7 linked regions of the Canis lupus familiaris genome follow. The protein of the gene in region 7 purifies or fractionates together with the protein of the main gene of each other region. This does not show direct contact. Links are inferred from orthologs where the notes say so. Each region holds a gene or a part of one and is shown on either strand. Other genes may lie near its edges.

Evidence for each region.
Region 1: the proteins of COPS5 (region 7) and DDB2 purify together in Homo sapiens (affinity purification with mass spectrometry; 10 studies listed by BioGRID and IntAct, counting the BioPlex papers as one, with this or other methods). This does not show direct contact. The link is inferred for Canis lupus familiaris from reciprocal best matches to the Homo sapiens genes COPS5 and DDB2.
Region 2: the proteins of COPS5 (region 7) and ASB6 purify together in Homo sapiens (affinity purification with mass spectrometry; 3 studies listed by BioGRID and IntAct, with this or other methods). This does not show direct contact. The link is inferred for Canis lupus familiaris from reciprocal best matches to the Homo sapiens genes COPS5 and ASB6.
Region 3: the proteins of COPS5 (region 7) and CUL4B purify together in Homo sapiens (affinity purification with mass spectrometry; 12 studies listed by BioGRID and IntAct, counting the BioPlex papers as one, with this or other methods). This does not show direct contact. The link is inferred for Canis lupus familiaris from reciprocal best matches to the Homo sapiens genes COPS5 and CUL4B.
Region 4: the proteins of COPS5 (region 7) and JUN purify together in Homo sapiens (affinity purification with western blotting; 3 studies listed by BioGRID and IntAct, with this or other methods). This does not show direct contact. The link is inferred for Canis lupus familiaris from reciprocal best matches to the Homo sapiens genes COPS5 and JUN.
Region 5: the proteins of COPS5 (region 7) and DCAF4 purify together in Homo sapiens (affinity purification with mass spectrometry; 4 studies listed by BioGRID and IntAct, counting the BioPlex papers as one, with this or other methods). This does not show direct contact. The link is inferred for Canis lupus familiaris from reciprocal best matches to the Homo sapiens genes COPS5 and DCAF4.
Region 6: the proteins of COPS5 (region 7) and FBXO7 purify together in Homo sapiens (affinity purification with mass spectrometry; 3 studies listed by BioGRID and IntAct, counting the BioPlex papers as one, with this or other methods). This does not show direct contact. The link is inferred for Canis lupus familiaris from reciprocal best matches to the Homo sapiens genes COPS5 and FBXO7.

The regions. Positions count from the first base shown.
Region 1 is NC_049239.1:42,779,111-42,782,610, reverse strand, and holds the end of DDB2 (DNA damage-binding protein 2), read left to right. Parts: intron 1-482; coding exon 483-625; intron 626-867; coding exon of another isoform or gene 868-918; exon of another isoform or gene 919-1,207; intron 1,208-1,958; coding exon 1,959-2,123; intron 2,124-2,263; coding exon 2,264-2,309; intron 2,310-2,617; coding exon 2,618-2,667; 3' UTR 2,668-3,038; downstream 3,039-3,500.
Region 2 is NC_049230.1:54,248,449-54,251,519, forward strand, and holds the end of ASB6 (ankyrin repeat and SOCS box protein 6), read left to right. Parts: intron 1-88; coding exon 89-197; intron 198-813; coding exon 814-900; intron 901-1,024; coding exon 1,025-1,692; 3' UTR 1,693-2,571; downstream 2,572-3,071. UniProt on the Homo sapiens protein: Probable substrate-recognition component of a SCF-like ECS (Elongin-Cullin-SOCS-box protein) E3 ubiquitin-protein ligase complex which mediates the ubiquitination and subsequent proteasomal degradation of target proteins.
Region 3 is NC_049260.1:93,267,725-93,271,908, reverse strand, and holds the start of CUL4B (cullin-4B), read left to right. Parts: upstream 1-1,384; 5' UTR 1,385-1,399; coding exon 1,400-1,571; intron 1,572-4,184.
Region 4 is NC_049226.1:51,325,840-51,328,811, forward strand, and holds JUN (transcription factor AP-1), read left to right. Parts: upstream 1-1,140; 5' UTR 1,141-1,356; coding exon 1,357-2,382; 3' UTR 2,383-2,472; downstream 2,473-2,972. UniProt on the Homo sapiens protein: Transcription factor that recognizes and binds to the AP-1 consensus motif 5'-TGA[GC]TCA-3'.
Region 5 is NC_049229.1:46,643,819-46,647,088, forward strand, and holds the end of DCAF4 (DDB1- and CUL4-associated factor 4), read left to right. Parts: coding exon 1-45; intron 46-1,710; coding exon 1,711-1,904; 3' UTR 1,905-2,770; downstream 2,771-3,270. UniProt on the Homo sapiens protein: May function as a substrate receptor for CUL4-DDB1 E3 ubiquitin-protein ligase complex.
Region 6 is NC_049231.1:32,004,198-32,008,451, reverse strand, and holds the start of FBXO7 (F-box only protein 7), read left to right. Parts: upstream 1-1,454; 5' UTR 1,455-1,662; coding exon 1,663-1,784; intron 1,785-1,876; exon of another isoform or gene 1,877-1,967; coding exon of another isoform or gene 1,968-2,004; intron 2,005-4,254. UniProt on the Homo sapiens protein: Substrate recognition component of a SCF (SKP1-CUL1-F-box protein) E3 ubiquitin-protein ligase complex which mediates the ubiquitination and subsequent proteasomal degradation of target proteins and plays a role in several biological processes such as cell cycle, cell proliferation, or maintenance of chromosome stability.
Region 7 is NC_049250.1:17,045,640-17,049,811, reverse strand, and holds the start of COPS5 (COP9 signalosome complex subunit 5), read left to right. Parts: upstream 1-1,372; 5' UTR 1,373-1,391; intron 1,392-1,397; exon of another isoform or gene 1,398-1,482; 5' UTR 1,483-1,729; coding exon 1,730-1,872; exon of another isoform or gene 1,873-1,880; intron 1,881-4,081; coding exon 4,082-4,172. UniProt on the Homo sapiens protein: Probable protease subunit of the COP9 signalosome complex (CSN), a complex involved in various cellular and developmental processes.

The sequences.
Region 1 (3,500 bases), on a different chromosome or scaffold from region 7:
TAGAACCTGCCTATCCTACCACTTCTGGGGTTTCTCCCCTCAATATTTAGAAGCTGCTAGGTCAAACCTTTACCCTGAGATCATCAGCCAAGTTGGTGTCTTGGAAAATTCCTGATTCTAGCTGCCTCAAACAGCTGCTAGGCTTTTAGAATGGTTGTTGTTTTTCTAAGATTTATTTTATTTGGAGAGTGCGAGTGGGAGGAGGGGCAGGGGGAAAGAGACAAGCAGATTCCCTGCTGAGCAAGGAGCCCCAATGTGGGGCTCAGTCCCAGGATGCTGAGATCATGACCTGAGCTGAATATCAAGAGTCAGCTACTTAACCAACTGAGCCACCCTGGCGCCCCAAGTTTCTAGAATGTTTTTGTTCACAGCCCAGATTCACCTCTTCCCTTCCACCCCTGTCCAGACAGGAGTGGGAGAGAGGGCACCCCTGTGGGGAAAGGCCTGTGTTCTCTTCAGCTCTGGGGCTTTTCACTTGCCAGCCTGTTTCAGTCCTGATGGAGCCCAGCTCTTGACCACTGACCAGAAGAGTGAGCTCCGGGTTTACTCAGCCTCCCAGTGGGACTATCCCCCAAGCCTGATCCCACACCCTCACCGCCACTTCCAGCACCTGACACCCATCAAGGTAAGTGATGGAGGCAGGGAGCTGTGATTGTGGGGATGGACCGGGTCTGCCCGAGGTAGGGAAAGGCCAGATCTCATCCTGCACCCACACGAAACAGTCTCTTCTCCCCTGGCCTTTCTGCAATTTCTGTCCCCATTCTGAGATCCCGCTTTGCTGGGTTGCGTCTCCCGGAAGCTCTTTCCGTTTTTTTTTTTTTTTTTCTGCTCAACCTACTTGTCCCCCTGTTCTGCCCTCCCTTCCAGTTACCTGCATGTGGTGCTGGCCCACTGGCTGACCTCGGCCCCCAACACTGATGGTCTTTAAGTCTTCGGATCCCTTCCCGCCCATGCCCCAGACCCACTCTTCTGCTCTCCTGGTTTCTGTTCTTTTCGAACACTACAGTCCCTCTTCAGAACTCCAGGGGTCACGCCTGTACTTCTCTGTCAAGGCAGGCCAACACCCCTGGTTGGAGTCCTTCGGTAAGCTGCTTGGGTTTTGGATCTCGGTTTCCTCATCTCTAAAAATGCAGTAATAGTACCTGGCTGACAGGGTTATTGGAAGAATCGGTATACTTAAAACACATGGCTAGTGCCTGGGAAGCACTATGTCAACGGTGATCGTTTAATCTTAGAGCGGCTCTCACATACCTCAAGTCAAATCCAAGCTCTTAACAAGGGTTCTTCACTGGCTGGTTCCCACTGATCCATGTGTCATTTCCCACTTCATGTCTGGCGAGGACAATCTCCAGCTTCCCAGGCGGGACTTGTACCAACTTTCTCCTTCCCGCTAACCATGTCTTTCCTCCTTCAAAACTTCCTTACGATTTCTTAGGAAAGCCCCCGTCTGATTCTGTCATTCCGAATCACTGCCAGATTTGTTTTGAGTGGGATCATCTGGGGAACATAGGTTTCCTTCTTTTTCTTGGCCACTAGCCATTTTCTGCTCAACTCTTTCATTCACATTGATCGAGGAGGGACAATAGTGGGATTACTTCAGAATTTATGTCCTACTTTTGGTTTTGGTTACCAGAGACTTTTTGCTTGGTTGGAGGCCTACCTCTTTGGTTAATGGTCAAGCTGATGTTCAAACGTCTATCGATTGGTATGATCTCAGGAAATACAAGAGAGAAGGCCTGAAGGTGTCCCAAGGTCCAGAGAGGCCAATTTGGGATTAAAAATGTGGAATGGTAGATGCACATGCACTTGAAAGCTGTTCTTGTAGTTTCATGTGGGTCTTACTTCCATTATTAAATTGCTGGCACTTGTATCAACAATTGTGAGTGGCAAAGAATACTTCGGAGGTCCCTCTTGACAGTACTCTGCATTTGCTCTCATGACAACTCTCCATCTCCTAGGCAACCTGGCATCCTCGGTACAACCTCATTGTCGTGGGCCGATACCCAGATCCCAATTTCAAAAGCTGTACCCCTCACGAATTAAGGACGATCGATGTGTTTGACGGAAGCTCAGGGAAGATGATGTATCAGCTCTATGACCCAGAATCTTCTGGTATCATTTCGGTGAGGTCTGGGCCCTCAAATGATGGGCGGGAAGCAGGGATTCAACCTACCTTAGCTGGCCAAAAATGACCAGAAATTAGCCATCATGTCCTCTTCTCCCAATATCTCACCTCCTCATGCTTACACCCTTGTCTCTGCAGCTCAATGAGTTCAATCCTATGGGGGACACACTGGCCTCTGTGATGGGTGAGTGAAGCAGGTTGTATCTCAGACTGGCCAAGCCCTACCCTACTCCCCAATGTTGAGTGCAGGCTCTCCTCAGCTTAGCCCTGCCAGTCACCCCAGGGTAGGAGGCAGGAAAGAAGATTTCCAGGAGACAGTGGACACTTTGGCCTAGGCCCTCCATGCCTCTTGTTTTGTCTTGGTTGTGACAGTGCCTGGCTGCTGTCCAGTGTCCTGGTTTCCTTACCAAGCCCTAGGTTCCCTGGGCCAGCCCCAAGTTCTCAGAGTCTGATAACAGAAGGTGAGAGTCAGACTGGTCTCACTCCTCCTAGGTTATCACATTCTCATTTGGAGCCAGGAGGAAGCCAGGATGCGGCCATGAGAGACACTAATGAAGGTGTGGGCCAAGCAAGAGCTTGGAGCCGCCTGAGGACAAATCCTGTAAGAAGAGGCGGCTGTGTATTAAAAGGGCCAAAGGTATCCAAGTCTTAGGGTTGGAGCAGGGACACTGTGGCATGGGACACTATGGGACTGGGACACTGGCACGTTACTGCTCTGGACTCAGCTCCAGAAACTTCTCCAGAGTTGGTGCCCCAGGTGCCCCAAGGGCCCCTGCTGTATCTAGCCTGGAGCCAGGCTTCTCTTGGAGCGAAGGTACTCTTATATGTTTGATGTGCAGTGATGGAGTGATAAGGTAATGGTTTTCAGTTTGTGCTCACTATTGACATGGCTAATAAAACCATACCCAACTGAGCCTGTGAGTGGATCTTCTAGCACTGACCTAATTAGAGGGCTCCTTGCGTCCCCCAAACCAAAAAAAGGCACAGAAACAGAGTCTAGAACTTTCATTCTCTGGAAGCTGCCTTAGACCTATTCTGGGCCACAGTCACAAGCTGTCCAGCTCACAACCTGCATTCACCTCTGGTCCCCAAAGACCCCGACGTAGCCAAAAGGGATCGGTAGTGTCATAACTATACTGCAACTCATGCCCCCCTTCCCCCGACAAACACCCTTCTGACCTGCTCCAGCTGCAGGGTGACAAAGATGCCTGAAGCATTATGTCTAATGGTGCCTTCAGGGAGACAAAGGAAAACTTGGCCAGCGGGCCTCTGCATGATCCCATTCCCTGGCAGCCAGTGTTTATACTCCCAGAATTGTGCAGTACTTTCCACTAAAATAAACACTGGGGTGCAGAACTGTGTCCTCTGAACCATT
Region 2 (3,071 bases), on a different chromosome or scaffold from region 7:
CTGCTCTGAAGCAGGGATGTGGTGAGTGGGGGGCTATGGGCAGCCTCACAGGCCCCCAGGCCCATTCAGCTATGCTTTCTTGGCTCAGATCCATGAGAGCAGCCCCTTGGACCTGGCCAGTGAGGAGCCCGAGCGCCTGCCCTGCCTGCAGCGCCTCCTGGATCTTGGAGCAGACGTCAACGCGGCTGATAAGCATGGTGGGTGCCTCCCACAGGAAAGCAGGGCACCTGGCACCGGGTGCTTTGCGAGGGAAAGCCAGAGCACCCCAGGACAGTGGCTAGGTGTGCAGGCTAGATTTTGCTGCATTTTGCTGACCTGCAGAAGCTTTCAGGAAGTGGTGCAGCCATTGGCCCCACGCCAGCCCCTTGAGGTCTGTCTGCAGGAGGAAGTAGGGCATGCATGTGGTCAGATTCTGAGGCAGAGTTAGCACTTCTTGGCAGAGACTAAGCCCGGGTCTCAGGTAGCAGCATCTGCGTGTCCAGAAATATCCCACGTCTTCTGGCCACTCTGCTCTTGGTTCTGTGTTGGTGGAAAGGGAATGACTAGAAACCGATCACCCTCCACCTTGGCTGAGAAGTTGGTCCTTTTTAAAGTTTGCTTTCTGGGGGGTGCCCAGCTGGCTCAGTTGGTAGAGTATGTGACTCTTGATCTCAAGAGTTGTGAGTTCAAGCCCCATGTTGGGTGTAAAGATTACTTAAAATCCTTGAGGACAAAACAAAGTCCACTTTCTCATCCTGTGGTGTCCCCTGCACCTGAGGGGTGGTCCTGACCTTGGTTTCCTGGTCCACACTCCTCATTCTCTTCCTTCCATAGGAAAGACTGCTCTGCTCCATGCTTTGGCCAGCAGTGACGGGGTGCAGATCTATAATACTGAGAATATCCGGCTCTTACTGGAAGGAGGTGAGGCTGGTCCACAGGCTGTTCCCAGGCCCTTCTCTTTCTTCCCACCATTAAACATGAAGCATTACTTTGCAGGGATTTAAGACCTTCTCCTGTTTTCTCTTTTCCTGACTGGCTCTTGTAGGGGCAGATGTGAAGGCTACCACCAAAGACGGGGACACTGTGTTCACCTGCATCATCTTCCTGCTTGGTGAGACGGTGGGAGGGGACAAAGAAGAGGCCCAGATGATCAGCCGCTTCTGCTTCCAAGTCACACAGCTGCTCCTGGCCCATGGGGCTGACCCCAGCGAGTGCCCAGCCCACGAGTCCCTCACACACATCTGCCTCAAGAGCTTCAAACTGCATTTCCCTCTCCTGCGCTTCCTGCTGGAGTCTGGAGCTGCCTATAACTGTTCCCTCCATGGTGCATCCTGCTGGTCTGGCTTCCACATCATCTTTGAGAGGCTCTGTTCCCACCCAGGCTGTGCTGAAGATGAGAGCCACGTGGACCTCCTGCGCAAAGCTGAGACCGTCCTAGATCTCATGGTGACGAATTCCCAGAAACTCCAGCTGCCTGAAAACTTCGATATCCATCCTGTGGGCAGTCTAGCAGAGAAGATCCAGGCCCTTCACTTCTCCTTGAGGCAGCTGGAGAGCTATCCTCCATCCCTCAAGCACCTATGTCGGGTTTACATCCGGCTCTATCTTCAGCCCTGGCCTGTGGATGCGAAGGTCAAAGCCCTACCTCTGCCTGACAGGCTGAAATGGTACCTCCTCAGTGAGCATAGTGGTACCGTTGAAGAGGACATCTGACCACTCCCGGATGGAAGGGTGCAGGGTCTGGGCAGCTCAGCCTGCTGGTGGATTTTGGTACCTGTGGCAGCCTTAGGGGAGAACCTTCTGGCCATCTTCCGGAAGGTACAGGTTGGGAGAGGAGACTTGATCCTAACTGTGTACCAAGAACACAGGTGGAGCCCAGCAGCTGCGGTCATTCCTGTGGGAAAAAAACTCTGTCTTCCAGGGGGACTGCCCCCCCTTCTGTCTGCCAGAACCCCCAAGTCTCAACCACATTGGGAAAAGGGACAGGGTGTAGATTTGGGACAAGTGTACACCTCGTCTGCAGGGAGCATCAGGCAGGGTAGCTTTGAGTCTCTGTCCTCCTGAGAACTGTAGGAGGCTGGTCTGTCTTGCATGGGGCCCAACTAAAGCCAGAAGGAAGCATGGTAGGCTTGTGGGGGACAACCCTGCAAGGCCCTTCACTCCCAGCCTCTCCTCATGCTAGATTATGTCACATACAGAAGTGCTTTTGGTGGGCTAGGGAGAAAGCTGAGCTGACCCCTGCCACCTTTGGCCGTTCTGGGACCAGGTCACCCACGGCCCAGCCACCAAGGCACGGGACTGGACTCTGGTGGCAGCTGTCTGTGCCAAACCTGGGACCTTGGGAGACCATGTCTTCTGCTAAAAGCAATTCTGCATGACCAGAGACAGTCCTTTCCAAAATGTCTCACAATTTTGTGAGGGGTCCATCTGATGAAGAAAGCTACACTGCTGAAAGCTGACTGTACTGCCCAGGCCGAGCCCTCACAAAGCCGAGTCCCAGGCACATGGGCCCTTATGAATTGTGTAAATGCTGGGGAAGCAAGCTGAGGCAACTAAAGATACATTATAAAGTAAAACATTTCTCTTGGCCTTCAAGGTGACATTTTGGCCCCTCACCCTTCCCCAGCCTCAGATAAAGGCTCCCACTGCAGCCATTAAGAGGTGAGAAGCACTAGGGGACGGCAGCATCTGGTGGGGACAATTAACACAGCACTGCTGTCCCAGTTAAAAAAGAGTACCACTCCACACTGGCTAGGGCCTTCCCATTACAGGATTCACCCTTTTATTTTCTGACTGAAAATGCTCACCGAGGAGGAGCTGCCAGGCCCAGCCAGGAGTGAGGCTGCAGACTTGTAACGATCACATTAGGGACACCAGGGCTCCATCACCACACAGGCCTCAGAAAGCAAACATCCCCAGCAGCTGCAGGAGGTAGCAGGCCTGCCCAGGCTCGCCGTAGCAACAGGGTGACAGTGCCAGCTCCAGGCCCGGCTCCTCTCCTCCCCCCAAGGGAAAAAAGTCCTCTATGACCGAGAGTTCTCTTCCTCTTAAGGCAGCCAGGCCTACAGCTGGAAGGCCAGGTGGTACAAGGG
Region 3 (4,184 bases), on a different chromosome or scaffold from region 7:
GTGGACATCTGCTGTTTTGATTTGCCCAGCATTCTTTCTTCCCTGCTTCTAGTAGTAGCACTCCTTTTCATTTGGAGAGCTGTTTCTCTTTCACTGTCCTTTCAATATAGTACTGGTGGGACAGGTAATGATAGTAACTTGCCCCATTGCACCCTCCACAGACCCAGCTCTGCACCTAACCCAGGATGGGCTAATCATAATATCAAACTCTGCTGGACACAATGGCAGCTCCAAAGGGTAGGCATGTGTCCTAGGCCAGAGATACAAGACCTTCCTTGGAATAATACAAATCAGAGGTAAAGAAGTAGCTTTTTCCTTTCTTTGGACATTAAACTGTAAGGATGTGACCCCAAAGCAGTTGGTAACCATGTCTCTATCATGTGAAGGAGTCTTAGAGAATGAGGCAATACAGAAAAGAGAGGTGGAGAGATGACCGAGTTTTATGTTTTTGCTTTTGGTTCCAATCAGGCCCCTGTTAGGCGAGTGGGGTTTCCCATGAAAGGATTGGTCAGATCTGCTGTCAATCAATCATCCTTGAAAACCGTTAAAAGCACCAGAACTCAAGCTTCAGTGGGCAGCACTTTCTTAGGAAAAAGCCCGCGAATTGCTAGCATGCCTAACGGTCGTCGGTGGTCAGTTGTTGTCCGCATTCCTAGCCGTTGGTTTTCTGATGTTAACAGAACGCTGGTAACCACAACAAATCCTGTTGGTCTTGGGGCAGTGCGTTAAAAGCTCCTTAGAGATTATGGAAAGAGGAGGGTATCCTTTAGGAGTTTACTGGCTGTGTGCCTGACTTGGAGCCAAGAGACTTTAAGCCAAGGCTCATCTCTGGCCACTTTAAATTATTTTGTGGTATACTTCTTTTCGTTATTCTCAGACGTTTAAAAGAGATATGTTGCTATAGAAGTTATAGCTTTTATTCACTGGTGATATGGGTAAGTTAGGCAAAAGCATGTCAGAGCCATAGTTACCTGCAGAGAAAATTCTCAGCCAGGTGGTGACCACGGCGTGGAAGAGGGATCCCAACAACCATGGCTCTGTAGTCTGATGAAGAGGCCAATATAGAAGATAGAGACCTGGTTTGGATCATAGTGAGATTGGACTTTGAGACCCTCTGAAATAGCTGGAGGACCCCTTGACCAGGGTCTGTTTGTTGGCCTGGAATCCCCCCCGGGTGGGTGTGGGAGTGGGGTGGGGGGGCACGAGCCATAGTAATTTAAAAGGGCATGGCAGATTTCCAATTTTAGATGTTAGTCTGAACAATTGTGCTTTTTCTCCCAAGTTAGCATTAAATGAAAGAAGAAAACTAAATATTAGACCCGAAACCATAAGGGATAACCGGGAAGGGTGTGATGAGCCAGCCAAAATTGTGAGTATTTTCTTGAAGATATGAAATAGGATGCAATTGATTGAGACCAGAGTCAATGGATCCAGAAAACTAGAGATATGGGAGAGAACTGCTGTTAACCTGAATTCTCTATTTTCTAATGTAGTCCTCCAAAGATGGACCATGTCACAGCCCTCTGAATCAGGGAATGGAAGAGATGATGCAGCCATCTCAGAAGATAATGGTGAGTAAATAAACTAGTAAAAGTCAAATGAGGTGAGGTATCTAACTCTTGATCTCATCTCAGGTCTTGATCTCACAGTTATGAGTTCAAGCCCCACATTAGGCTCCACACTGTTTTGGAGCCTACTTAAAAAAATAGTAACAATAGGGGCAGTCTGGGTGGCTCAGCGGTTTAGCGCAGCCTTCAGCCCAGGGCATGATCCTGGAGACCCCGATCGAGTCCACGTCAGATTCCCTGCATGGAGCCTGCTTCTCCCTCTGCCTGTGTCTCTGTCTCTGTGTCTCTCATGAATAAATAAATAAAATCTTTAAAGAAAAAAATAATAACAATAAAAATTAAAAACTATTATACAATTTTAATACATACAGAAGAATATGTGTGACATATAATTTATAGAGCATAGTAAGAAAACAAACACCCATGAATCCATCACCAAACTAAGAACTAGAACATTTAACAATGCTTTTGAATCTACCTAAGTTCTCCCCTTTGCTTCCCCCAGAGCAATCCCCTACCCTGGATTTTGTTTTGTTTTTTTCCCTTCTATATTTTCTATCCATTGTTTTCCTTAATTTTGAGCTTTACAAAAAAAAATTGTCAATTGCATATATTCTGTAATTATTGCCTTTTTCGTGTAACATTAATTTTGTGATTTATGCATATAGCTGTAATTAATTTTTCACTGTCGTGTAGTATTTCTTTGTGCAAATATACTCCCATTTAGTCATTCTATTAAAGAATATTCTCGGGGATCCCTGGGTGGCGCAGCGGTTTGGCGCCTGCCTTTGGCCCAGGGCGTGATCCTGGAGACCCGGGATCAAATCCCACATCGGGCTCCCGGTGCATAGAGCCTGCTTCTCCCTCTGCCTATGTCTCTGCCTCTCTCTCTCTCTCTCTCTGTCTCTGTGACTATCATAAATAAATAAAAATTAAAAAAAAATTTTAAAGAATATTCTCTTGTCATGTTTTGAGGTCCATATCAAAGTTGATACAGACTAGGAACAGAAAATCTGTAGCATGTTTTGAATCACTTCCTCCCTTAGGCCACCACTAAACAGTCTCCATATATCTATTATTAGTACTTAGTATATTCAAGGGCAAAGGATCAGAAATTTATTTTTTCTGTAAACGATTACATAGGAAATATTTTAGGCTCTTGCTGGCCATATGGCCTGTCCCAACTATTGAACTCTGTTGTTTTAGCACAGAAGCAGCCACAAAAAATATGTAGATGAATGAGTATGGCAGTATTCCAATAAAACTTTCTTATTTTTAAAAGATTTATTTATTTCAGTGAGAGAGTGCACACGTGCAGCGGGGAGGGGCAAAGGGAGAGGGAAACTCAAGCAGACTGCACTGAGCATGGAGCCCAACATGAGGCCTTATATCACTACCCTGAGATCAAACCCGAACTGAAACCAAGAGTCAGACGCTGAACAACTGCACCACCCAGGCACTCCCCCACCCCAATAAAACTTTATTTATAAAAATAGGCAGCTGGCTGGGTTCATTCAACTGACTGCCCTTTCCCAAACTCTGCTTTAGTTTATCTGGTTCCTGTAGCATTGTCCAGTATTGTGGTCACATGTGCACAAGTATTATCTCACTTCTTTCTCATTACCTTATTTCCCATGCTTATCTCTCCTCATACCCACCCCTCCACCTCCCCCCCCCCAGTTCCTGAACTAGTGGCTCAAAGTAAGAATTATCAGTAGCTACCACTCCAACAGCAAGTAGGGGTAAGTCAGGCCTGGTGCTAAGAGGCCTAGGAATTACTGTACCAGATTTTAGACAGAGATGCTGCCTTGATTTCCCTCAATACTCTAGGGGTTTTGGTTAGGACAAACTATTCCCTGAGAACGAGTTTCCTTGAAGATAGTAAGTATGTCTTAGTCTTTCTCACCTTCAGGATTTAAACCTGCGCCCTGTTTTCCTTCTTTGGGCCCCTTGCCCCCTCCCACTCTTCTTGCCTGGCTAATTCCCACTTACCCTCACAGATTTAAATTGAATTACTTTCTCTGGAAGCTATTATTTTCTCTGGAAGCTTTTTGTAACTCCCCACCTCCACCTTTTCTCTACTCCACCCCACCTTCCTAGGCTGTGCAGGTGTCTCTCTGTGTTCCTACAGCAGCTTTTATCACTCTGTCCTCTAATTGTCTGCCTCACCCACTAGGCCAATTGGGAACTGTTTGAGGGCAAGGGTTGTCTTTGTATACTCAGGGACTGGATCATAAGAGGTCCTCAGGCAAGGCTTGTTTAGTGTTTGTCAGGATTTGGCTAGGAGAGGGAGCTGGTTTCTACCTCTGGTGAAGATCAGCCGTTGATTGAGGGTCCAGCCAAAGAATGGACTAATTCTGATTCTCTAAAACCAAATTGTTGTCTCCTTGAATGTGCATTGCTTGCTGCCGCGTCCTGCCTGAACTGAATCCAAGCTTGGTCTCCTATTAGGCACTATGATTTGGCTCATCACAATAAAGGAGTAGTTTTTTTATTTCTTTTTTTTTTCCCTCTTGGTGAGTGGGGCTCTGAAAGTCTTTTCCTAACTTATCTATTACTTGAGACAATTTTGTGGCATGTCTTCTGCTTAAACTGGAAATTATGAGAAATACCATA
Region 4 (2,972 bases), on a different chromosome or scaffold from region 7:
CCCTGAACTGGAGCCCGCCCGGGCCGCGGGAGCCCGCGTCCGCCCGCGTCCGCCCGCGTCCGCCCGGCTCGCGGCAGCCGCCGTCACCCGACAGTCAAATCCCAAGACGTCAGCCCACAATGCACCGGGCGGGCCGGGAAAGACGCGCGGCGGAGGAGACGGGGGCAGAGCCGGGCGCGAGCCGCGCGGGAGGGGGAGGGGGGAGGGGGAGGGGGAGGGGGAGGGGGAGGAGGAGAAAGAAGGGCCCAACTGTAGGAGGGCAGCGGAGCATTACCTCATCCCGTGAGCCTCCGCGGGGCCGGAGAAGAATCTTCTAGGGTGGGGTCTCCATGGCGACGGGCGGGCCCGCCCCCTGGAGAGCGACGCGAGCCAATGGGAAGGCCTTGGGGTGACATCATGGGCTATTTTTAGGGGTTGACTGGTAGCAGATAAGTGTTGAGCTCCGGCTGGATAAGGGCTCAGAGTTGCACTGAGTGTGGCCGAGGCGGCGAGGTGGGAGTGGAGGAGCGCGGACTCGGGGAGGCGGGCGGCCGCGGGCAGGCGAGACGGCCGGAGAGTCCGGGCTGCAAAATCCGCTTTCCGTTTTGCATTTTCCTCGCCGACTGGCCGGAGCTAGCGCCTGTGGCTCCCGGGCTGGTGTTTCGGGGAGCGCCCGGAGAACCCCCTTCTCCAGCCGCCCCCGGGAGGAGAGCCCCGCCGCCCGGGAGCCGTGACAGCGCGGAGAGCGGCGACAGGTCCGTCCGCGCAAGTGCAGAGAGTGGCTGCGGCGGCTCAGAACTTTCCTGGCCGGGAGCACAGGGGACGAGTGGCCCGGGTCCCGGAGCGAACTTTTGCAAAGCTCTGCCGCGCCTGAGGCTGCGGCGGCTGCGGCGGCGGCGGCGGCGGCGGCGGCGGCGGCCGGGACGAGAGAGGCGGCGGCGGAGCGAGGAGACCGCGGAGGGACGTGCGCTCGGCGCCCCTCGCCCCGGTGGCTGAACTTGGGCGAGCGCGAGCCGCGGCTGCCCGGCGCCCCCTCCCCCTGTCGCCGCGGGGGCGGGCCCGCGGGCCCCCGGGAGCCGCCGCGCCCCGAGAGCGCCCCGAGCGCGCCCCGTGGGTGACCGCGACTTTTCCCCGAGGCGGGCAGCGCGCGCGCCAGCTGACCCAGGAGGAGCGCGGCGGCGGCCGGAGCCGGTGAGCGGGGCGCGGGGGGAGGACCGCCGGCGGGAGCGCGCGCCCCTCCAGAAACTTTCCTCTAGCCCAGGGCCGCCCCCCCCACCCGGGAGGCGCGGGGGTCCCCCGCTCGCCAGCGCGCTGTTGCGGCCCCGAAACTTCTGCGCGCAGCCCAAAGTAACCCCGCGCGAAGTGACGGACTGTTCTATGACTGCAAAGATGGAAACGACCTTCTACGACGATGCCCTCAACGCCTCGTTCCTGCAGTCCGAGAGCGGCGCCTACGGCTACAGTAACCCCAAGATCCTGAAGCAGAGCATGACCCTGAACCTGGCCGACCCGGTGGGCAGCCTGAAGCCGCACCTCCGGGCCAAGAACTCGGACCTGCTCACCTCGCCCGACGTGGGGCTGCTCAAGCTGGCCTCGCCCGAGCTGGAGCGCCTGATCATCCAGTCCAGCAACGGGCACATCACCACCACGCCGACCCCCACGCAGTTCCTGTGCCCCAAGAACGTGACGGACGAGCAGGAGGGCTTCGCCGAGGGCTTCGTGCGCGCCCTGGCCGAGCTGCACAGCCAGAACACGCTGCCCAGCGTCACGTCGGCGGCGCAGCCGGTCAGCGGCGCGGGCATGGTGGCCCCGGCGGTGGCCTCCGCGGCGGGCGGCGGCGGCGGCGGCGGCGGCTTCAGCGCGGGCCTGCACAGCGAGCCGCCGGTCTACGCCAACCTCAGCAACTTCAACCCGGGCGCGCTGAGCAGCGGCGGCGGGGCGCCCTCCTACGGCGCGGCCGGCCTGGCCTTTCCCGCGCAGCCCCAGCAGCAGCAGCAGCCGCAGCAGCCGCAGCAGCCCCCGCAAGCGCCGCACCACCTGCCCCAGCAGCTCCCCGTGCAGCACCCGCGCCTGCAGGCCCTGAAGGAGGAGCCGCAGACGGTGCCCGAGATGCCCGGGGAGACGCCGCCCCTGTCCCCCATCGACATGGAGTCGCAAGAGAGGATCAAGGCCGAGAGGAAGCGCATGAGGAACCGCATAGCTGCCTCCAAGTGCCGGAAAAGGAAGCTGGAGAGGATCGCCCGGCTGGAGGAAAAAGTGAAAACCTTGAAAGCGCAGAACTCGGAGCTGGCGTCCACGGCCAACATGCTCAGGGAACAGGTGGCACAGCTTAAACAGAAAGTCATGAATCACGTTAACAGTGGGTGCCAGCTCATGCTAACGCAGCAGTTGCAAACGTTTTGAGGACAGACTGTCGGGGGCTTGAGGGGCAACCGAGAGAGAGGAGAGAGAGAGAGAGAGAGAGGAGAAAAAAAAAAACCACACACACACACAGAGAGCGAGAGCGAGAGAACTTGAGAACTTGACAAGTTGCAAGAGAGAGCGAGAGAGACAAGAAGTGTCCAAGGACTAAAGCCAAGGGTATCCAAGTTGGACTGGGCGGCGTCCTGACGGCGCCCCCAGTGTGCACGAGTGGGAAGGACTTGGCGCGCCCTCCCCTGGCACGGGGCCAGGGAGCGGCTGCCCGCGGGCTGCCCCGCTTTGCGGACGGGCTGTCCCCGCGCGAACAGAACGTTAGACTTTTCTTTAACATTGACCAAGAACTGCATGGACCTAACATTCGATCTCATTCAGTATTAAAGGGGTGGGGGGGGGGGAGGGAGGGGGAAGGGTTCCAAACTGCAATAGCGACTGTAGATTGCTTCTGTAGTACTCCTTAAGAACACAAAGGGGAGGAGGGGGGGTGTTGGGGGAGGGGAGGCGGGAGGGAGGTTTGTGAGAGCGAGGCTGAGCCTGCAGATGAACTCTTTTCTGGCCTGCCTTCCTTAACTGTG
Region 5 (3,270 bases), on a different chromosome or scaffold from region 7:
ACCTGCCCCTGCATGTGCACGAGGAAGAAGGAATTGTGGTAGCAGGTACCTGGGGAAGGGAAGCTCTTTCTGTCCCATCAGATAAAATGGCAGAGGGAGAAACTCCTCCACATGAGAACTGAGTACATGGGACTGTGGACTGTTGGAGAGACTAGGTGGGACATTGAAGAGGATGTTATTGAGCAGCAGTTAAACACCCACCAGTTAGAACAGCCCTTTGTCCTCACACGAGTGGGAGAACATAACCTCAGTAACAGGCAAGCTACGTGCAACAAAACGCAGCAGCTTGGGAGGCCTGGGTGTTCACCTGGTCTGCATTCAGTGTGGCCCTTATCCCGTCCTGTTCAACAGCGTGGGCTTCCCTGTTCTTTGTGCTCACTTTCCAGCAGAGCATGCTGAGAAAAGAAGTTAAAGTCATTGTAACAGAACTGGTCCTGATCCCCTTGACACCGTCCCTGAGGATCCGTATTACAGAATAGAGCAGAAGTGTTGAGCCACTAAATTCCCTGGGAAGATGGGATGCCTGGGTGGCTCAGGGGTTGGACGTCCAACTTTGGCTCAGGTCGTGCTCCAGGGGTCCTGGGATCGAGTCCCACATCGGGCTCCCTGCATGGGGCCCGCTTCTCCCTCTGCCTGTGTGTGTCTCTGCCTCTTTCTCTGTGTGTCTCATAAATGAATAAATCGAAAATTCCCTTGAAGAGTTACAGGTTGATCACAGATTTTGCTGTTTCTGGGAGGACAGAATGCTCCGATATCATGAAAGTTCGGTGGTTTGGTTTGACACATGAAATAAGCCCTTGACATTAAGGAATATATTCTTAGTCTTGACATGTCCTCAGATGTGCAGATATGCCTACAGAATGTACTTATTCTCCATGAATCTTTTTTTGTGCCAAAGAAGCATCACTTTGTTAGAACTTTCTCAGGCTTGTTTACTACTCTCCACCCCCAGCAGCAGTTAGCTTCCTGTTTAAGCCTAGTTTCCATCCCAGAAGAGCTGCTGTGCTCCGAATAACAGGAAAGAGAGGAGCCCCGCGGAGAGGCAGGCATGGGTGGTGGACTAGTGCAGTCCTCTGTGAGCCGCACAGCCTGAGCCATGCCGAGGGAGTGCCGGTGGCCGCATAGCCTCTCCAGTGGCAAAGTCCGTGAGACCCTAAGACCTTCCTCAGAAGGTCTCCAGTAGCGTGTCGGGGCTCCTGCAGACAATGGTTGTTTGGTGCCACGTTCCTCACAGCTGTGAGCCCTGAAGACTTAGCTGGTCTTAGGAACTGAGCCATTAAACCAGAAACAGCTCTGGTGAGAGTTGTCGCCTGGTTTGTCCCCAGGATATTTTGAAGTGAAGAGATCTTCCTGGTTACTCTTTTACAAAGAGGAAACCTGTTGCTCCCCCTTGAATAGACCTTGATGCAAGAGAAGTAGAGCACCCACCTCTTAGGATGCCTTGTGCACCAGCCAAGGTGTCACACAGCCAGCCAGTGCATCCTGCGACTTGGAATACCTGTGACTAGTTGTGATTCTAGAGCACCAGACCTGCAACTTTTGATTTTCAAGAAGTACATATTCTCAGAAATCATTTTCATTTGGGTTTGTGTTTTGGCTCCTGTGGAGTCCCGTCTAGTCTTAGGAATCATGAGAAGCTAGGTCCACGTGTATACAAGTGCTCCTGTGTGTTCGCTCACTAACCTTCCGTGTCTCTTCTCTCTCTCCCAGTGGGCCAGGACTGCTACACGAGAATCTGGAGCTTCCATGACGCCTGCCTGCTCAGAACCATACCCTCTCCACATCCTACCTCTAAGGCTGACATACCCAGTGTGGCCTTCTCTTCTCGGCTCGGGGGCTTCCGGGGAGCCCCAGGGCTGCTCATGGCTGTCCAGCAGGACCTTTACTGTTTCTCCTACACCTAATTCCACAGGGTACAGCCTGGAGGGATGTGGATTTGACTTAAGAAGTAAGGAGCAGCTATACTTCTGCCACAGTTGCTGTTTCCAGTGAGGGCATTTTAAGTAGACGTTCTGTGTACACAGATCCATCCATCCAGCTGTCAGGAAGTAGGTACTGTTTTATGTGGAGACACTTCAGTAAAGTTATTTCAGTTAAGTTGTGAGCTCAGAGAGCTCAAAAGTCCTTTTCATAAAAGGTACTTATTTCCTTGTTGAATTCCTTAGAATACTCTGTGTCCCCCCTCCCTTTTTTTTTTTTTTTTTCTTAAAAAATACTTTTTCTAAGGGCTAAAGATTGGCAGTAACTAAACTAAAACTGTTTCTTTTACCAAAAGCCCTTTCAAGAGGGCTAATGATGAGGTTGGGTGAGACTGTGGTGCAGTGAGTGCCTAGGTCCCAAAAAGATCTGCATGTGGACTGGAGAAAGCCAGCTGGGGAGACAGGGAGGGAGGTGGGGAAATCATTTCTCAGTCTCTAGAGGTAAAGATTGAAGGCTGGATTTTGCAGTCATTAAAAAGCCTTCTCAGACTCATTCAACATCCACAGACCTCACTTTCTCCTTTTATCACCATCCAGAGGCATTGGAAGGAAAAATGGATCTTTCTAGATGCTCGAGGTTTTAAACAGGTCCTAGCATACTTTGTGGAGGCACCTTCCAGAATGTTAAGTACAACAGCTCCTATTTCTGTAATGGTGATTTAGAATGTCAGATTACAGGGCCCCGTCTCAAAGAAAATTGGCCTTGACTTTCTGTAATCTAGAAGCACTTTGAGATGTTTATACAGCGTTCAAGAGCCTTTCTACCAAACAATAAACTAGAAAGAACTGTGTGTTGCATTGCTTCTGTTAACGATTCAGAAGATCATGATTGATGATTGTTCACTACAGCAGTGAAACCAGCTGTGTAACAGCTACTCAAATCTTGGGTGAGGGGTAATACAGACCAGCTGTAGTGGCTTTGCTAGAGAGCGTTAACCTTGGCCCCCAGACCCAGGCCCCCCTGCCTGCTCTGTGCACACCCTAAGAAGCTGACCTGGAAGGACAACAGCAGTGGACTCCCTGCCCACCCCTCTGCTGGGATGTGGCGGGCTGAGGCTGTGTTCCTCCACCCAAGGCTGCAGCTCCTGTTGGAACATCACACCCTCTAGGTTCCAGCACCTTCTTTCCATTTGTCCCTTCAGATCTACTAGTAACTGCACCTCACTTGCTAGCCCAGGAACTTTGCCAATTAAACTCCAATTACACCCTTGAGTGGTAGTAATTCTGTTTTCTGCCAGAACTCTAGTACAGAGGACCAAATCCAAAAAAAAGAGCAGACTGGCTATCCGAT
Region 6 (4,254 bases), on a different chromosome or scaffold from region 7:
ATGTTCCCTGTTAGTCAGCCAGACTCAATCTCTATTGCTCAGAACCAAGAAACCTGATAAAGAATCCCCTGCTTAAAACTCTGCATTGGCTTCCCATACATTCTAGAATGTGTCTCAAATCCTTTGCTTAGCTCAAAGCTTTATCTGGAAAAGTACCCACTCTGTCCTTCCCTCTGGTCACACTGAGCCACCCTGCTCCTACCAGCCTTCCTTAATCTCATATTGCTTGCCACTAAAGAATTTAGGGGCACAATCACTCTTCTGTATGTACCCCACCCCTCGGGATTGTTCTTTATAATAAAAAAAATCATTACACTCTACTACAAGAGTTGATTCATTCAACTGTAAACTCTGCACTCATTCTTTGAGTCCCCAGGCACCTGGAATAATACCTGGCCCAAAGTAGGTGTTGATGCCTGTTTGAAGATCAGGACGTGGACAAGTACTGCCACCTACTGGGAGAAACTTCATTCAACTCTAATAATGATTTGGACAATGGCTAGCATACAAGGATGAAATCTGACCATTCCCTAAGTTATCATCATTGTTGTCCGACTCCCCAGGATAGGGTTCTCCCAGGCGGCTCCCAGTGATCCCTGTCCAGTGCTATTCATGCCCTTGGGTTGATCCTCCCACACTGAAGGGTTGGCTCTAATGACAGAAGTGGTGGTGCCTGCCTTCCGAGGCTAGAGCACAAAAGACATCGCAGCTCCTGCTTTGGTCGTTCCGGGACCACGTGTTAGGAGGGAGGCCAGATGCCGTGTCGCGGGGACACTCCATTGGCCCTACGGAGGGGTCCACGCCGTGGAAACCAGGCCTCCCGCCCACAGTCGGGGGAGCTCTCCTGCAAGCAGGTTCTCCAGCCTGAGTCAAGGCTTCAGGTAACTGCAGCCCCGGCCTACATCTTGCCTGGAATCTCTAGAGACCAAGACAGACCCACCCACCCAGCCGTGCCCATACAGAACCTCTGGGACAATTAATATTCGTAGTTTTAGGCTGCGAAGCTTTGGGGTGATTGCTGAGCGACACACTACTCCTCTCGTCTCCGACACAGATCAGGGGACCACAAGCTGTTTCATATTTTGCTGTTCCACGAGGAGACGGGCAGAGCCTGGGCTGCACCGCAGGCTTCTCAGAGCCGAGGCCTGCGGCTGGAGCTGAGCGCCGCGGAGCGCAGGCGGCACGAGCCCGGCACGCCCGGGCCCGCAGAGCGGCGAGTCACGCACCCCGCAGCCGCGCCCTCGACGGAACGTCCTCCGCGGCCGCCTGGGAGGAGCCGGCACAGCCCTGGCCACGAAGGGGCCGCGCCGCCCCCGCCCCCGCCCCGCCCAGGCCCCGGCCCCGCCCCCGGCCCCGCCCCCGCCCCGCGTGGCGGCCGCGGCACCTGCGCACTGCGAGCCTCTCACGCCCAGGCGGCGCCGTTGCGCGCCGAGTCATCGATCGCAGAACGCCGAGCCGCGGGGCTGGGCGGGGGCCGCCCGCCACCCGCCCGCCCGCGGGGTGGCTCCAGGGGGCGCCCTCACGCGAGGGGCAGGCGCTCCTGTTCCAGAGACCGGCCGGCAGGGGCCGTGGCGGGGCCTTCTCTCCGCTCCTCCTCGGCACCCTCGCGGCTCCGGTAGTCGCCCCCGCCCCCCCCGGGCCCCCGGGCCTCCGGCCGCCGCCATGAAGCTGCGGGTGCGGCTCCAGAAGCGGACCTGGCCGCTGGATCTGCCCGACGCCGAGCCGACGCTGGGCCAGCTGCGCGCGCACCTGAGCCAGGCCCTGCTGCCCTCCTGGGGCTTCGGGTAGGCGGCCGGGCGGGGCGCGGGGGCGCGGGGGGGCGCGGGGGGCTCCCCGCCTGCTGCGGGCGGTCACGTGAGGCGGGGCGGCGGGGCGGCGGGGGTAGGGCCCCGGGACTGTGACGCGCGGAGGCCCGGGCGGCGCGGGCGCTAGCGCTGCGGCTCGGCGGCCCCCGGCTTGCGGCCGACATGGCCCGGCGTCCCGGGGACCCGGTCCCCCTGCAGGGTGAGCCGTCGCCTTCGTTTCTGCCGCAGGGGAAGCCGGGGACCGGCCGGGGCGGGCGCGGGGGTTCGGCTCCGGGGGGACTTTCCCGGGCTCGGTGGGGTCGCAGGTCACCGTCCCCGGCGGTCGCAGGGTTCCGGGGAACACGTCGGGAAAGTTCCAGAAGTTAGGGACCGGCCCGCGCTCCGAGGCCGCCGTGAGCGGGCTGGAGGCTGCGCCGGGCGGTGCGCGGCCCGCGGCGGGACCCGGTTCAGGGTGTGGGTGCTGCGGTGCTTCTGGTTCCCCGGCCGAGCTGTTGCTTTTTTGCTAAAACTAAGGTAAACGTGGGTCTTGGGGTGACCCTGGAGGGCTTGCGGTTTGGGGGCAGTGACGTTGAGAAATCAAGGACCGGAATCCGCTATTAATTTAATGGGGCTGCAAATGAGACTTCGTTTCCACCGAGTGTTTTCCGGGGATGACAGTCTGGGGGCCGAGGGACAAAGCTAGGGGTGGGCCTCTTCGCGAACTGAGCGAGCGAATTGGGCGTTTGAGCGTGCTGAGGAAACAAGGGTAGTCGCTGGGGCTTTCTAGGTGAATTCTTCAAAAGGAAACCTTTCTGTTAATTAAGCGGATTTTTTTTTTTTAAGATTTTATTTATTCATGAGACACAGGCAGAGGGAGAAGCAGGGTCCCTGCGGGGAGCCGGGTGCGGTACTGATCCGGGCACCCCGAGATCACCAGCTGGGCCCCCCCCCCCCAGGTGCCCCTAAGTGGGTCCTTTTTCTGAGACTTTTATAGATTTTGACTTTATTTTTAGGGAATAGAATAAAATGAGGCCATGTTATGAACTTGTCACCTTTCATTTTTCATTTTCATTTACTATATTAAAAGTAAGCCTGTTTTTTCTCCAAATCAAAAATGAGATTTGAACTGTTGAGTGTTGTATTAAGTGACACGCCTATTGTTATTTCCTGGTGGTAAGCCTAAGCATTTTGTATGTTAATGTCATCACCCCACCAGAAATCTCAAAAGGACCTTCTTTTTAAAATATTTTTTCATATGTATGTATGTGTATTTCATTAATATTTTTTTTTTTTTAATTAAGGGCACTCCTGAAAGGACTGTTTAAGAGCCCAAGTTAGTTTCTCCTTTGGGTTTGTTTTTATAGTTGAGGCTGGTTAACTGGAAGGAATGTAAGCTTCAGCTTCTGAAAGTAAATTCATTCTTCTGAAAATATGTTCACTTTATAATAAATGGGTAGTTCTAAAATACAACGGTAGGACACTATTATTTTTTAAGTGTCTTCACTGAGCAAGTGGATCTGGGTCTGACATGAATATTTTTTAAAGGCCTGGTGTTTCTAAGATAGCATTTTCTGATGAATTTGAATTTTTTCAGTTTTTAACCCCTCCACTGGAAAGTTATATGTTACTTTAGAAGTAGCTCTTCCCTTTTCCTAAATGGGGAGGGAAGTCCAGCATTTTTATTAATTATATGGTTCTTTAGCTTTTCTACAGGTGGTTGTTTGGATGAACATTGTATTGACATTGTTTGAAAAAAAAAAAAAAACCTTTTGCTGTGACAGATGATCCATAAACACATAGTTCATATGAGACATTTTTCTCTTGGGATAGTGTTTTTTTGGGGGGCATCTTCAGTATTTATTCATGGGTTTGAAAACAGAAGTATAGCTATTTATTTCCTAATAAGCAGGAGTAGTTTCTAAAATTTTAGTAATTTCTCTACCAAAGACACTTTAATTGGTAAGAAAAAGTGTTTTTACATGTGAAAGAAAATGAATTATTTTGCGTACTTTTGAAAATGCAGCATTGCAAGAATAAACAGAACATGATTTTCAAATCCTTGGTTAACCTCTCAAAAAGTTAATGAAGTTAGCATTGCTGAGTCTAAGTGTCTTATAAAATGTGCAGCGATTTGTTAATTACTCCGCACCACTATGTGATGAAATGATGGATATTCTCTCAAATCAGAGAGCCTATGATGTGGAAGGGAGGAGAGTTTGTTTCAGGCTAATTTGAGCTCCTGTTTAGCAGTGGACTTTGGGATTTGTGCTGTTGTCATTATAAAAGACATCATACATAACGTTATCAGTAACAAAGGCGACCTTGTACTTAACAGTGGGAGGGATGCATTTATACTCGGTCCTCTATATTCTCATGTTTTTGTGATTGTTAGTATTTATCTTGGACATGGGTCTAGTGTTTTGGAAGAGACATAGCTGACTGTCCTGTAAATACATTGACTAGGGAGCCC
Region 7 (4,172 bases):
CCCCTGCGTATTTCTCCTCTTCCTGGAGTCTGGTCATCAATGTTTTGTCCTGGGGGTTTTTATTTTTTTTTTTAAAGATTTTATTTATTTATTCATGACAGACACAGAGAGAGAGGCAGAGACACAGGCAGAGGGAGAAGCAGGCTCCATGCAGGGAGCCCGACGTGGGACTCGATCCCGGGACTCCAGGATTACGCCCCAGGCCGAAGGCAGGCGCTAAATCACTGAGCCACCCAGGATTCCCCTTTTTATTACTAATTTCAACATGTTCGGTTCCCCCCAATACTGAACGGCCATGTGCCACACGAGAAAAGAGATCTCTAGCTTTCCAGCAGAGGGGAACTAAGAATCCTTTGTCCTAAGTTACTTTGTAAGAGGGTTTTAAAAACAAATTTTCTTCAAATGGAAGTTAATGTCGAAACTGCAGGCAGGGATGTGGATTCAATAATTCTAATGTTTTTAACTATTTGGCACGTACCGTACTAGGAGTGGAGGACACAACCCAGAGCCGCGTCCTGAACTCTTAAGCTTTTAGTGAAAAGAAAAAAATCCAAATAAATACATTATTACAATGCAACGTAACAGTTCTAGAAGCACCTACAGACGTTTAGAGACATCTAAAAGGAATCATTACTGGAGAGCGGAAAAAGTCAACATTTCATGGTAGAGATCCCTGAGCTGTTTTTGAAGATGAATTTGAGCTCCCAGGCAAAAAACAAGACAACACAACCGCCAGGGGAGAGTATTTCAAGCAAGGCTGACCACATATGCAAAGTTTCAGGATGATTAAAGATGAAGCAAGCAAGCAAATAAGTGAAATAATTAAACACTGCATTAACTGTTGGGGGAAAAAAAAAGTTGCTGAGATTAATTTGGCCTCGGGGATAGGAAGTGGTCTCACACCTTAAACGAATTGTTAAGAACTGGGTACTGATCTTTTCAAAACACTAAGAGCTCATACAGATGTTAATTTTTACAAACACGACAAAAGACCCTGTCGTAGCCTTCCACGAGTCTCCACAGCTTTCTTGAAATGCCGGAGAACTGCTCTCTTAAGAGACCCTTAGAGCCCAACCAAGGGTCCTTTGAACTTTACGCATGTGCAGTGACTCATCTGGAAGTAAACTGGGATGCCAGGTGTATCTTCGTCTCAACCAGCATCCAAAACTGCTTATGTCTCAAGTTTTTCACAGACATCCTTATTTTTGTAGGCTTTCAACAAACATTTTGTTTAAGGTACCCACACACCCACACGAAAACAGGTCTTTTTTTTTCCCCCAACACAGCCTAAAGAGCTAACCCACTTTTAATATGGCCGAGGCCGCGCCTGCGCAGTGCGAACAAAGAGGACCCGTTCGTTTCTGGCATAACGTTGCCGTGCCCTTCTTCCGGTGCGGAAGGCTATACCATTCTCACGCTCCGTCATTGTGTTTGTCCTAATGCGCGCATATAATTTTCTAAGATAATATGTTCTCGTTTCAGCCACAGGAGGATTCCTCTGTCTCTATTATGTAACCGCTGTTTGTATCGTGGCGTCCCGGAAGCGCTCCCGCCATCCCCGAATGGTCTGTACTGACTTCACCTCCGGTTCTGGGTGTCATGGCTGCCTCGAGAGATTAGTACGAGTTTGCACCTGTGGTGGGAAGGGTCCGAAGCCCACACCCAGGAACCTAGCCGAGTAAAGTTGCGTCTTGGTCGTGGAGGCGACAGCTTCTCGGATTCCACGGCGATGGCGGCGTCCGGGAGTGGTATGGCTCAGAAAACCTGGGAATTGGCCAACAACATGCAGGAAGCCCAGAGTATCGATGAAATCTACAAATACGACAAGAAACAGCAGCAAGAAATACTGGCGGCGAAGCCCTGGACTAAGGAGTGAGGAGGTCCCTGGCGAGACGCAGGGGATGGGAGGGGTGGCGGGAGTTTAGGACACCCAGGGGAGTGGGAGTTGCAGAGGGTGGGAAGCTAGTGTTTTCATGGACAGGGAGAAGAATATGCACCCGGGAAATTTGGGTCCACCTTTTTCTCCGCAAGTAGAGTCAAAGCCCTTCTCCTGGGTCTTGCTTCGATTCCCCTTCTTGTCTCTTTAACCCGTTTGCCTCCAGGGGATGTAAGGGTAAAGGACAAACGATTATAATTTCTCATTTCTCAATATCTATATTGTCATATATATGCCACACACTCTGCCTTAAGCCTTGTGTTGATATACACCTTGTTGAGACCTCTAGCTTATCTGAGACTGGAGACTGCACCCATCTTCAAAAGCCAAGTCAGCCCTGGCGTCTCTAACTATAAGCCATCTTTTAGACATTTATAAATCGATTGTTGATTGCTGGTAACTATTTCAGATACAAGGAGGCTCCACCCAGGCTCCCAAAACGTTAGTCCACCAGTTAACATGAACTAGAAATTTTATCAATAGAGTTTAAAGCTGTTTGCCCCTTAGCAAATGCCCTGTGTCTCTGGGAATGATGACAAGTGAAGGACTCTACCCACAGCATTTACCCTTAGTGTTAAGGGAGAGTAAAAAGAGCAGTCTTCAAATGGAGAGATAGAAAGGACAGCAGTGATCAACAACAAAACATTCTTCCATGTTTATCGAGTATTTAATATGGGCTGAGCACTGAGCTTAGGAATTTCTATAATATATTATTTAGTCTACATGACAACCCAGTACTGTATTTTCATTCCTTTTTTGGAAATAAGAAAATAAGCAAATACGAGTAACTTACTTCATGATCAGACTGAGGCAGTGAACTCTTAAGTGAATAATAGACTAAAATTCAAACCTCACAAGTGTCCCTAGTTCGTTGACTGGCCCTAGAAAATTTATGTATCTTCATTTTTTACCTGTAAAAAGAAAATTAGACCCACCCATTGGTGATTTCATAAAGATTAGATGAGATAATGCATTAAAAAGGGTCTACAATGTATGTAATAAGAGCACAATAACTTTTTTTTTCTTTTCCCCAGTGAATAAAGACCCAAGATTAATTCATGTCTTGACTCCCAAGACCAGGTCTCCATATTTTTCAGTTGTGATTGAAATCTGTGGGCAGACATCTTAAAAAGGCTTCTCAGGAAAGAAGAAGGAAAAAAAAGTAGGGGAGGGGGGCTTCTTAAACACATTGACCATATTATTAAAGACAGTTTGCTTAACTCTATAACAGGCTATGCATTTAAGGTTGCTATACTATAGACTACCAAATATTTGAAAACTATCCGTGTGCCTTATTGTCTGATTGCGGCTCTGATTATGTTCATCCCAGCGATCTTGAGCTGCATCAGTGAAACGGAAAATGTAATTTTATTCAAGAGTAGTTTAGTCACATATACATATGACAAACTTTTAAATAGTGATCAAAACAGAACTAAAGATATTAGAGCTACTTTTTTCATTTTGAGGCTGATAACACAGAAAGAAACAACACACTTTTTTGAGAGTACTATAAAAGATGGGTTAAGGCTAATAACAGCTAGCACTTAATATTAAGTTTTGGTATGTGTGAGGTAGTAAGATAAGCATTTATGTAAATTATTTCACTTTATTTCTTCCTAACAACAAATCTGTGACCTATTCCTATTTACAGATGAGGAAACTAAGGCGTGGGCATGCGGTGATTGTCTCTAGGCAACAGCTAGCATGGCAGGGCAAAGACTCAAACTTAATCAGATGGATGTCAGAGCCCACATTTGGATGTCAGGCCAGAAAGTTAGGCCTGAGAATCTTTAGGCACAACCATCCAACTAGACTCAGAATCAGAGATTTGGTGATTCCAAAATTAATGGAGAAAAAGTCTATTGAATTCTATGTAATTCCTTTCTACTTGAACAGCATATTTAAAACAGCATATTTTAAAAAACTATTTCATACTTTTCCCCTAAAGAAATACTTTGCAGGACCCAACATGTTTTTCATTTCCAGCCCCCTGCAAGAACTCTACTTCCCTTTTCTTTCCCACATTTCTACACTCTTTCCCCTTTCCCATCACTGTAAGTTCCTTCAATACTTGTTTTCTTTACAAAAACTATCTTTGAAATTGTGTTTTATATAAGTTAATTGTGCTGTACTTTTGTTTTGTAGTCACCATTATTTTAAGTACTGCAAAATCTCAGCATTGGCTCTACTGAAAATGGTGATGCATGCCAGATCAGGAGGCAACCTGGAAGTGATG